2 linked regions of the Ovis aries genome follow. The protein of the gene in region 2 interacts with the protein of the main gene of each other region in a pairwise test. Links are inferred from orthologs where the notes say so. Each region holds a gene or a part of one and is shown on either strand. Other genes may lie near its edges.

Region 1 (4,401 bases), on a different chromosome or scaffold from region 2:
CTTTTCAACTGAATATTTCATATTGTATGCTTGCAACTATCAATTGTTATCAAATGTTATTCCTCTACTTATTCCATGATTAAAATTTTAAAAATTTAAAATAGAAGCAGGTTTTGTAGAATATATTTATTAATGGCTTAGATGAGAGTATCATTGTTTAAAGCAATTTAAAAAAGTAAATTAAAGGGTAAAATAAATTTTTTTAAAAATGAGATTTAATTAATTTACTATTTTTTTCCCATCGATGTACAATGCTTATCATTCTATAAGAGATGAATAAGAATTGTTTTTACAAAGTGAAATCATTCAGTCCTGTTGTAGTTCAAGTGTTGGTAGACTACTTTTGTGAGTCAAAAAGATGAGATTTTAAAAGGATAAAATCAAATACCCATACAGAGTTTTAAAAACAGAGGTGCTGATGTTGTCTTTGTCTGAATGAGGGTAGGGTACATGGATATCCACGCATGCACACACATGTCAATGCACACACCCTTCCGCTTCAGTTAAGACTGAGTGATCGCAAGTAAAAGAAGAAAACTCAGAATACATCAAGAAGATAGTGATCAAAGTGATAAAAGAATTGAAAGTGTGTCTTATTGAGATGTCCTGATAGTTATAGCTGAGTGATATAGAAAGTCTGTGATTTACAGGAGGGATTGGCTCCACAGGGTCCCCGTTCATGTTGCTTACTTTCTGGGCATTATCAGACTGAGTGTCCAGAGCTGCAGTGACATTAATAATCCATATTCCTACTGGCTTATCACCCCTTTCTTTCCTGCAACATACTGCCTTGCTTGGAGGCAGATTCATCCAGGTCTTTTCATCCTGGCCTTCTTGTGGCTTCAGAGACATGACTTAAACTATGATTTGCAAAAGGAAATGTATTGGAAGGCTCCTGGGTTGAAGCAAGGGTTTTACAACTGAACTGTGAAGGGCTTTGGTTGAGCTGGGTCTTCCAGGCCTCTGGGGGCAAGAGAATCAGCGCTGCCAGGGCTCACACCTCTGCTGGTGCCTCTCACTGCGGCCTGGTTCGCTGCACATGGGTGAGGGTCACCATGGTCCTTAATGCTTCCTGCGTCTTATAATGCTGTGGCTCCGACCATCCGAAAGGAATGGATTCCTTTCTTTTAGGTTTCAGTTAAGAGAAGAATCTTGGGAAGGATTCTGACTGGATGAATTTATGTCAAGTATCCATCCCTTGGTTGGGGAACAGAATCCTATGAGAACATGAATTTTTCCGTCAAAACCACGAAGTTGTGGGATAAGATGTGTGCAGGAGAAGGGAGTGATCTGGAGAAAAGCATATAGTGCTAAATTGCTTCCATTGTGTCTGACTCTTTGCAACCCTATGGACTGTAGCCCGCGAGGCTCCTCTGTTCATGGGATAATCCCAGCAAGAATACCGAAGTGGGTCGCCAGGGATCAAACACATGTCTCTTACATCTCCTGCACTGGCAGGTTGGGTTTTTTACCACTAGCGCCACATGGGAAGCCCATATGTACCATTCAGTTCACTTCAGCTGCTCAGTCTTGTCTGACTCTTTGCAACCCCATGGACTGCAGTATGCTGGGCTTCCGTGTCCATCACCAACTACCAGAGCTTGCTCAAACTCATGTCCATCAAGTTGGTGATGCCATCTAATCATCTCATCCTCTGTCGTCCCCCCTCTCCTACCTCCCATCTTTCCCAGCATCAGGGTCTTTTCCAATGAGTCAGTTCTTCGCATCAGGTGGCCAGAATATTGGAGTTTCAGCTTTAGCATCAGTCCTTCCAATGAATATTCAGGCCTGATTTCCTTTATTGACTAGTTGGATCTCCTTGCAGTCCAAAGGACTCCCATGTACCACATGTGTCCCTAATCATCAGGGCCATTATATAAACGGTCACAAGATGACTCACCCTTGGACAGCTGAAGTGAATCAGCTCAAGAGCAGTTAAGTCAGCTTGCTGCCTTAGAATGAAAAGATAGAGGCCACAGCAAGGTTTGGTTTGTTTAGAAGATTCTGGGTTTTCACATTCAGAAAGCAGTGTCCTATGTATTCAGAGTGCTTTATAGAGGGCATTGCCAGGTGCTGTGGAGAGGTCACATGTATTAGGTAGCGCCTTGGGCCAGACTAATTGCTTTAGAAATATTTGCTTCTTTTTCACTATGTATAAAATTCTACTTAACTGAAAGTTCTTTCAAAGTCTCTTATTCTAAGAGTTTATTAAAATTTTTGTCACTTTTCACTTTTGTTAGTAATTTGGCTTCAGGGTTAGTGTTTCAGCCTATTTCATTTTTTAAAATATTCTGCTGCTGCTGCTGCCAAGTTGCTTCAGTTGTATCCGACTCTGTGTGACCCCATAGATGGCAGCCCACCAGTCTCCCCCATCCCTGGGATCCTCCAGGCAAGAATACTGGAGTGGGTTGCCATTTCCTTCTCCAATGCATGAAAGTGAAAAGTGAAGATGAAGTCACTCAGTCATGTCTGACTCTTCATATCCCCATGGACTGCAGCCTACCAGGCTCCTCCATCCATGGGATTTTCCAGGCAAGAGTACTGGAGTGGGTTGCCATTTCCTTCTCCAGAGGATCTTCCTGACCCAGGAATCAAACCCAGTTCTCCCACACTGTAGGCAGACGCTTTACAATCTGAGCCACCAGGGCACATTTTATTTAATTATAAACAAAATATGGTAGTTGCCTATTAATAGAGTATTAAATGAGGCTGTATCTGTACTTGTGTATTCAGATTTCTTCTTTAAGAAGGTCAGCATTTTTGCTCTTAAATGGGTCATAATGTAAAAATGAAATGCTTAAAAATTAAACATGGAATCAAAATGGAAAGCATATGCAAAGTATTTTTCTCCATTTTTATATATTATAGGAGTTGAGAATGAGCATGGAAAATATGGCTAAGGGTGAAGATACTTTACATGGAGAGGTGAGAACAAAAAGTTATGTTATGGGATACGAATAAGTATCCTGGATTGTGACACTAAATTTTGGTGCATTAGTAGATACGTTTTAAAAACAATTTTATTTATCTGTGTTTGGCTGTGTTGGGTCTTCTTGCTGCAGAAGGCTCTAATTGCAGTGAGTGGGTGCTATTCTCCAGCTGAGGTACCCGGGCTTCTCACTGTGGTGGCTTCTCTTGTTGTGGAGCACAAGCTCTAGGGCACGCGGGCTCCGTGGTTGCAGTGCCCAGGCTCAGTAGCTGTGGCACACAGGCTTAACAGCTCCTGCAGCATGTTGGGTCCTCCCGAACCCATGTCTCTTGCATCGATAGGCAAATTCCTTAACACTGAGCCACCAGGGAAGCCTAGTAGCCAAAGTTTTAATATGGAGTTTATCAAAACTGATAGTTCAAATACATAATCTAGTAATAACAAGTCACAAATAGGGTGTACTTTAAAGCCAAATCTCAAAGTGGATAAAACTGGAATATCCAGTTTGTTTTTGTATTTTTAAAAACCAGAATATTATGAGATTATTGACCATATGATTACATGCAGTGATATGTTTTAAATTTTATGATGTATTTTTTAAAAAACACATTTTAGCCTTTGTTTTTGGAATTCACTTGTCACTAACAGGTATTGGTTCATTCCATTAACTGACAATGTTGAATGTTGATGTTATAATTCAGAAATGCCTTAGCAGAACTGAAAGCAAATTAATGTATTAATCTCAAAGTCATTTGAAAGTGAAAATGAATTATATGATTCATTTATGATCAAGATTCATTTATGATCATATGGTTATAGGATGGAGCCGACTCAGGCAAAACACTAGCTGAGATTAGTGATCGATATGGGGCACCAAACTTGAGCAGAGTGGAAGAACTCGATGAGCCAATGCTCTCTGACGTAAGTATCCTTAGGAAAGTATTTTGTGAAAAGCAGAGTTTCTTGTTTTACTTGGGAAAGCCCAGTGTCTCTCAGGCCAGGGTTGGATGGCAAAGTCAGTCTTTTGCTTCACAGAAAGAAATCAGCTTTCTGGGTGCCAGCTTTTTTCTAATTGGTATCCTGTGCAGTGTGCTGCTGGCCCCAAGAGTGAGGGCAGGCACTGGTCTGGCTCCACACAGAAGTGTAGGCGCTGGTGGGGAGGTAGCTGGGTATTAATGTGGAGTGAGCAGTGTACCCTCCTGTGCAGAGGGTGATACGGTTGTTCGGAAGTGAGGCTTTGAAAATTTCAAAATCTTTTCAAAATGTATATTTAAAACCATGTGGTAAAATACATAATCTTTAAATTTTGGGGGCCGATATTTTGGTTCTCAGTAGTAAACCATGGAGCCAAGTAAATAACCTAATGAGCGTGCATGCTTTTACAGTATTTATGTACGTTAGCTTATTTAATAATCATACAGTGTTTCCTGGGCACACATATTGTGCCCAGTACTTTTATGGCCAAAACAAGT
Region 2 (4,845 bases):
CATGAGGGCAACTGTAGAAAGCAGCCCTGTCGGTATTCTTATTTAAAGCTAATCTGAGGCACAGTAAAACTTTCAAGACTTGCTGATCGGAATCAGGCAAAAGAAAGGTGTTCAGAACACTCTACCGGCAGGATCTAGGAGAGGTTTTTAGAAAGAAGATGTGAAAGCAAGGAAATCGTTTGATTGGCTGTAACTTAAGAGGTTGCCTTGTTTGGGAAAGCCCAGTTGGCTGTTTGTGAGTGCTAAATTTCATTTTCTCCAATTTGGGTGCTTTGGCTCTGGCCTAGGTTTAGGTTGACCTGCATCGGCTACGGAGGTGTCACAGCCTTCCCAGTCTAATGGGCTCCTTTTTCAATTACTTGAACATTCTTATTTCACGGATGAGGACACGGAGGCTCAGAGTGACGAAGTGACCTGTCCAGACCACACGACTGTTGTGGTGGAGGCTGCAACAGAGGTCACTCTGTTCAACCAGACTTTATACTGCATCCAGGGAAAACAGAGAATTGAATAAAAGAAGGAAGCGGGCGGGCGGGCCTTCCCTGGTGGTCTGGTGGTTAAGAGTCCAGCTTGCAATGTAGAGGACCCAAGTTTGATCCCTGGTTGGGGAACTAGGTTCCCACATGTGGCAGAGCACCTAACCCTACAAGCTACAACTAGAAGATGGGAGTGCCCGCGACTAAGACCCCAGGCAGCTAAATAAATAAAATTTAAATAAAAAAAGGAGGAAAGGGTGAAGGAAAGAATAAATGAAGACAAAAATGGGAAAATGAAAAGAGCCTGAATAAAAGAGTTAATACTTTTGCTTTTCATTTATTTTTGTCACACTGCAGAGCTTGTGGGATCTTAGCTCCCCAATCAGGGATTGAACCCAGGCTCTCGGCAGTGACAGTGGGCTGTCTTAACCATTGGACTGCCGGGGAATTTCCAATCTTTTAATTTCATTTTTTAAGAGAATAGTTGGTACATAGAATGATACACGTAGCATGTGAGTTATAAAACATACTAACAGAAGGAACACCCTTGAACCCACCACCATCCTAAAACAATAGAAAGTTGCCAATAGCTCGAACCTACTTATATCAGCGGTTCTTCGAGCTGGCTACACCTTGAACACACCTGAGGGGCTTAGACAACCACAGAGTGCTCGATGGGGTTTGTCTGGAGTCCGGTTTGGACATCTGGATTTTTCAGAGCTCTCCAGATGATTCTCTTGTGCAGCCAGGTTTGAGGGTGACTGGCTTATAATTCCCTTCCCTATTATATCCCTCTGATTTTCCCCGACGCTCACCTGCCTCCCTCAGGTAGCCATCATCCTGAATTTGGTGTAGTGAATGGATTCTTTTCCTTAGACAAGCGATGTCTGCGATTGAGCTCCCGCCCACCACGAGGGGGCATCGGAGAAAAACACAGACTTCTTTTCTTGCTCTGCGCGCCGAGTAATCGCGCTGCAGGAGGCTTGGCCCTCGCGGCGCTCCATCGCCGGCCCGTTGCCTCGGCAACGAGCGGGGAAACGGCCGGCGTAAGTGCAGCGCTGTCGGAGAGGGTCGCCGTGGCCCGGGCAGGGATTATTTGGGGCTTGCGGGACCTTGGGCCGGGGCAGTCTTGGGAAACTCCGGCGCGCAGAGAAACGTGAGTCGGGGGTTTGGGCTCGGTCGGGGGCCGGCGTTGGGGTCTGGACCCTCAGAGCTCTGCCGCAGTCGGCTCCGCGCTGGCGGGAAGCGCGCCCGCCGTCCCGGGACGCGATCGCGGGGCGCCCGGGGCTTCGGCTTCCAGTCCTCACTCGGCTCCCCGCGCGGCCTGGGTCCGACCCTTTCCTCTGTAATCTCTTTTGTTGTATGTGGCTGAGAGAGGGATGCGACTTGTTCAGAGAGCCTCCCAGCTTGTTGTTGATGGTTCATCTGGGGCCGGAATCTTCACTTTCCTCAATCCTCGTGCAAAGATTTATCCGCAGGCGGCCTATGGGGCAAAGAAAAATGTCTGTCAGGCCTGCCACAGTCTGAAGACAGATTTGACCTGGCAGTCTCAGGCTAAGCTTGACTCATAGACGCAGATCATTTTCCTCCCGGTTCGGAGGACTCTGAGTTTGTTTATTTGCCAGAAGCTCCTTGAGCACTGTCACAGCCAGGCACTGTGTAGACCCTGCACCTGGGGCAGCTTTTGGACCGGGAGTGGTTGGGGGGAGATGTCCGGAGAGACTGGTTCTGCTTTCGAGTCTCCGCCCGTGTCCCCAGATCGCCCCCTTGACCCGTGCAAATTGATTCTTCCCTCTGGGTGGTAGTTTCTCCATCTGTAAGAAGGAGGGATCTCCCTCCATGCTCATCCAGAACATTACCAGGTGTGACACCTGGAGATAGCAACCCACTCCAATATCCTTGCCTGGAGAATACTATGGACAGAGGAGCCTCGTGGGCTACAGTCCATGGGGTTGCAAAGAGTGGGACAGGACTTTGATTTCAGCAAGCGACTTTCATTTCACTTCACAGCCAGGGCATGTTGGTCCCAACAAGTACCATCTTGCAGTCTACAGAGCTTGGGCCCTCATCCCAGGCTAACATGAATTAGGCTCCCAGCTCCTGTTTAAATTTCCTCTGCTTCCTGGCTTTGTGATCTTCAAGTCATTTTACCTCTTTGAACTTCAGTTTCCTCAGCTGCCAAAAACAGCAGGGTGCTAGTAACAATGAAAAAGGTCATATAAGTCAAGGGCTTGGCCCACATCCGCATGCCTGCAGTTATCCTCTCTGTTACCTTAGGCAGAGCGCAGAAACCCTCCGTGTGCCAGTCCAGTGTCGTCAGCACTGGCTCCCTGTCTCTGCACTGCCCTTACTGATGTCAGGCTCACAGCTGGGTGCAGTCCAGGCTTCTTCAGCTAGATGATTTGGGGTCCTGGTAGCAAGTCATTTTTAAAATGCTGGTGCCTGGGAGCCTGCACTGAGATTTTTTTTTTTTTACTTAATTGGTCTGCCTTGGGGCCCAGGCTCTACCAGGAGATCCCAGTGTGCAGCCCAGGGTGAGGACCGGGCCTCAAAGGGGTGAGGAGCTGCAGCAGGCTCCTGTTCTTAGCGCTGCTGTTCTCCTCAGATGGCACTCCCCACGCTGCCCTCCTCCTGGTGCAGCCGGCGGCTCCCAGATCAGCAGGCCGCCCGACAGCGCCGCCAGGAGCAGGAGGCGCATCTTCGGCAGCAGTGGGACCAGAACAGCCGCTACTTCCAGATGTCCGACATCCGCAGCTCCAAACAGGCAGAGTGGAGCTCCAGGGCCTCCTACCAGCGGAGGTAACTGTGCGGTGAGCACCTTCCCTTAGGGCTGGAGGGCCACCTACTGCCGGGAGATGTGACTGACTCAAGGACCTGGGGGAGGGTGGCTGGCCGGCGTGGATACTTGCATGGAAATGTGATGATTTCCGTGGATACTCGCATGGCGATGTCTTTCCAACTGGAAACTGAAAAGAAGGTCAGCAGTGAAGTAACACATTTGACTGAAAAAGATAAGATGATGAGACGTGTATGTAGAATCCGGAAGTCCCCCGGTAGCCCCATTTCCCCAGGAGAGAACCACCGTGAACTGTCTGGTCCGTAACCTCCCGTACACTTCTTCATCTGTTTTTGTGTGTAAATATAGATACAAGCATACACCCATTTTTATAGAGAGAGATACATACGAAAACACGGAAGTTAAAAGCATGGGCTTTGAAGTCACACAGACCTAGATAGCAATTCTGACTATGGGCTTTGGAGTCGGACAGACCTAGATAGCAATTCTGACTGTGTCACTTGCTGTATGAATGAGCCTCAGTTTCCTCATCAGTGAAGTGGGGCTAAAACAGAACCTAATTTATAGGATTTATGTCATGACTACTATAAAAACCATCCAGGTTATGTAGTACATGGTAACTACTCAGATAATATTACCATGTGCATAGATACGCCTCTTGTACATTTCCTTGCAAGAACAAGATTCTATTATGCATAGTGGTTCTATTACCTGGCCTGTTCACTTTGGCTGGAGGACGCCTTCCCAGGTCACCATGTTCCATGTGTCTCAGCCTGTCACCCACACAGCCAGCCATGTAGCCCCTGTGCAGCTGGAAGCATCCAGGCTGATGGTGGCCCCTCTCGCCCAGCATGCATGCTTACCAGCGGGAGAAGATGAAGGAGGAGGGCAGGAAGCGTCTGGAGGCCCGACGGCAGAGACTCAGGCAGCTTCTGGTGGAGGAGCAGGACTTGCTGGCCAGACAACTGGAGGAGCTGAGGCTGAGCATGAACCTGAGGGAAGGGAGAATCCGGGAGCAGCACGGGAACCTGAAGGCGGCCCGAGAGGAGCAAAGGAAGCTGGTAACTCCGCGTAGCTCTTCAGCAGGGTGCGAAGCCCGAGTCCCCGGCCTGTCGGTGAGGCCACGAGGCGTCTCCCTCAGGGGCCGAGATGGCAGTTCACTACAGAGCCAGCTGAGAAAAGTGCTGACTCTGAGTCGTTGTTCGTGTGTATTTTCCAGGAGTCATCTTTATTCTCTTGGGCCCCTTAAATCATTATATCTGAGTCCCTTTTCTTTATTCTAGTTCTCTGGTCCCATGAAAGGCTGGGACTGGTGTATTTTAACTTAACTTCCAAAGTAGTCCTGTGTAGTGGTGGTCTCTAAGCTGTGTTTTTAAGCCTGCTGTATATTTTGAAGTAGATCTTTAGCATCTAGGACCCATTTGTAGCATCAGATTTTGGCCCCTTTTTATCACCATTATAAGAGTCATTTGTGGGAACTCCCTGGTGGTCCAGTGGTTAAGACTCCACGCTCACTGCTGAGTGCCCAGGTTCAATCCCTGATCACGGAACTAAGATCCCACAAGTCGTTTG

What was found.
Region 1: the proteins of TCHP (region 2) and DYDC1 interact in binary tests that used the Homo sapiens proteins (3 or more experiments, as listed by UniProt). The two-hybrid records come from large-scale screens. The link is inferred for Ovis aries from reciprocal best matches to the Homo sapiens genes TCHP and DYDC1.

Annotation. Positions count from the first base shown.
Region 1 is NC_056078.1:34,775,955-34,780,355, reverse strand, and holds part of DYDC1 (DPY30 domain-containing protein 1), read left to right. Parts: intron 1-2,868; coding exon 2,869-2,925; intron 2,926-3,748; coding exon 3,749-3,850; intron 3,851-4,401. UniProt on the Homo sapiens protein: Functions as part of axonemal radial spoke complexes that play an important part in the motility of sperm and cilia. Plays a crucial role during acrosome biogenesis.
Region 2 is NC_056070.1:63,503,589-63,508,433, reverse strand, and holds the start of TCHP (trichoplein keratin filament-binding protein), read left to right. Parts: upstream 1-1,519; 5' UTR 1,520-1,632; intron 1,633-3,081; coding exon 3,082-3,275; exon of another isoform or gene 3,276-3,286; intron 3,287-4,123; coding exon 4,124-4,334; intron 4,335-4,845. UniProt on the Homo sapiens protein: Tumor suppressor which has the ability to inhibit cell growth and be pro-apoptotic during cell stress. Inhibits cell growth in bladder and prostate cancer cells by a down-regulation of HSPB1 by inhibiting its phosphorylation.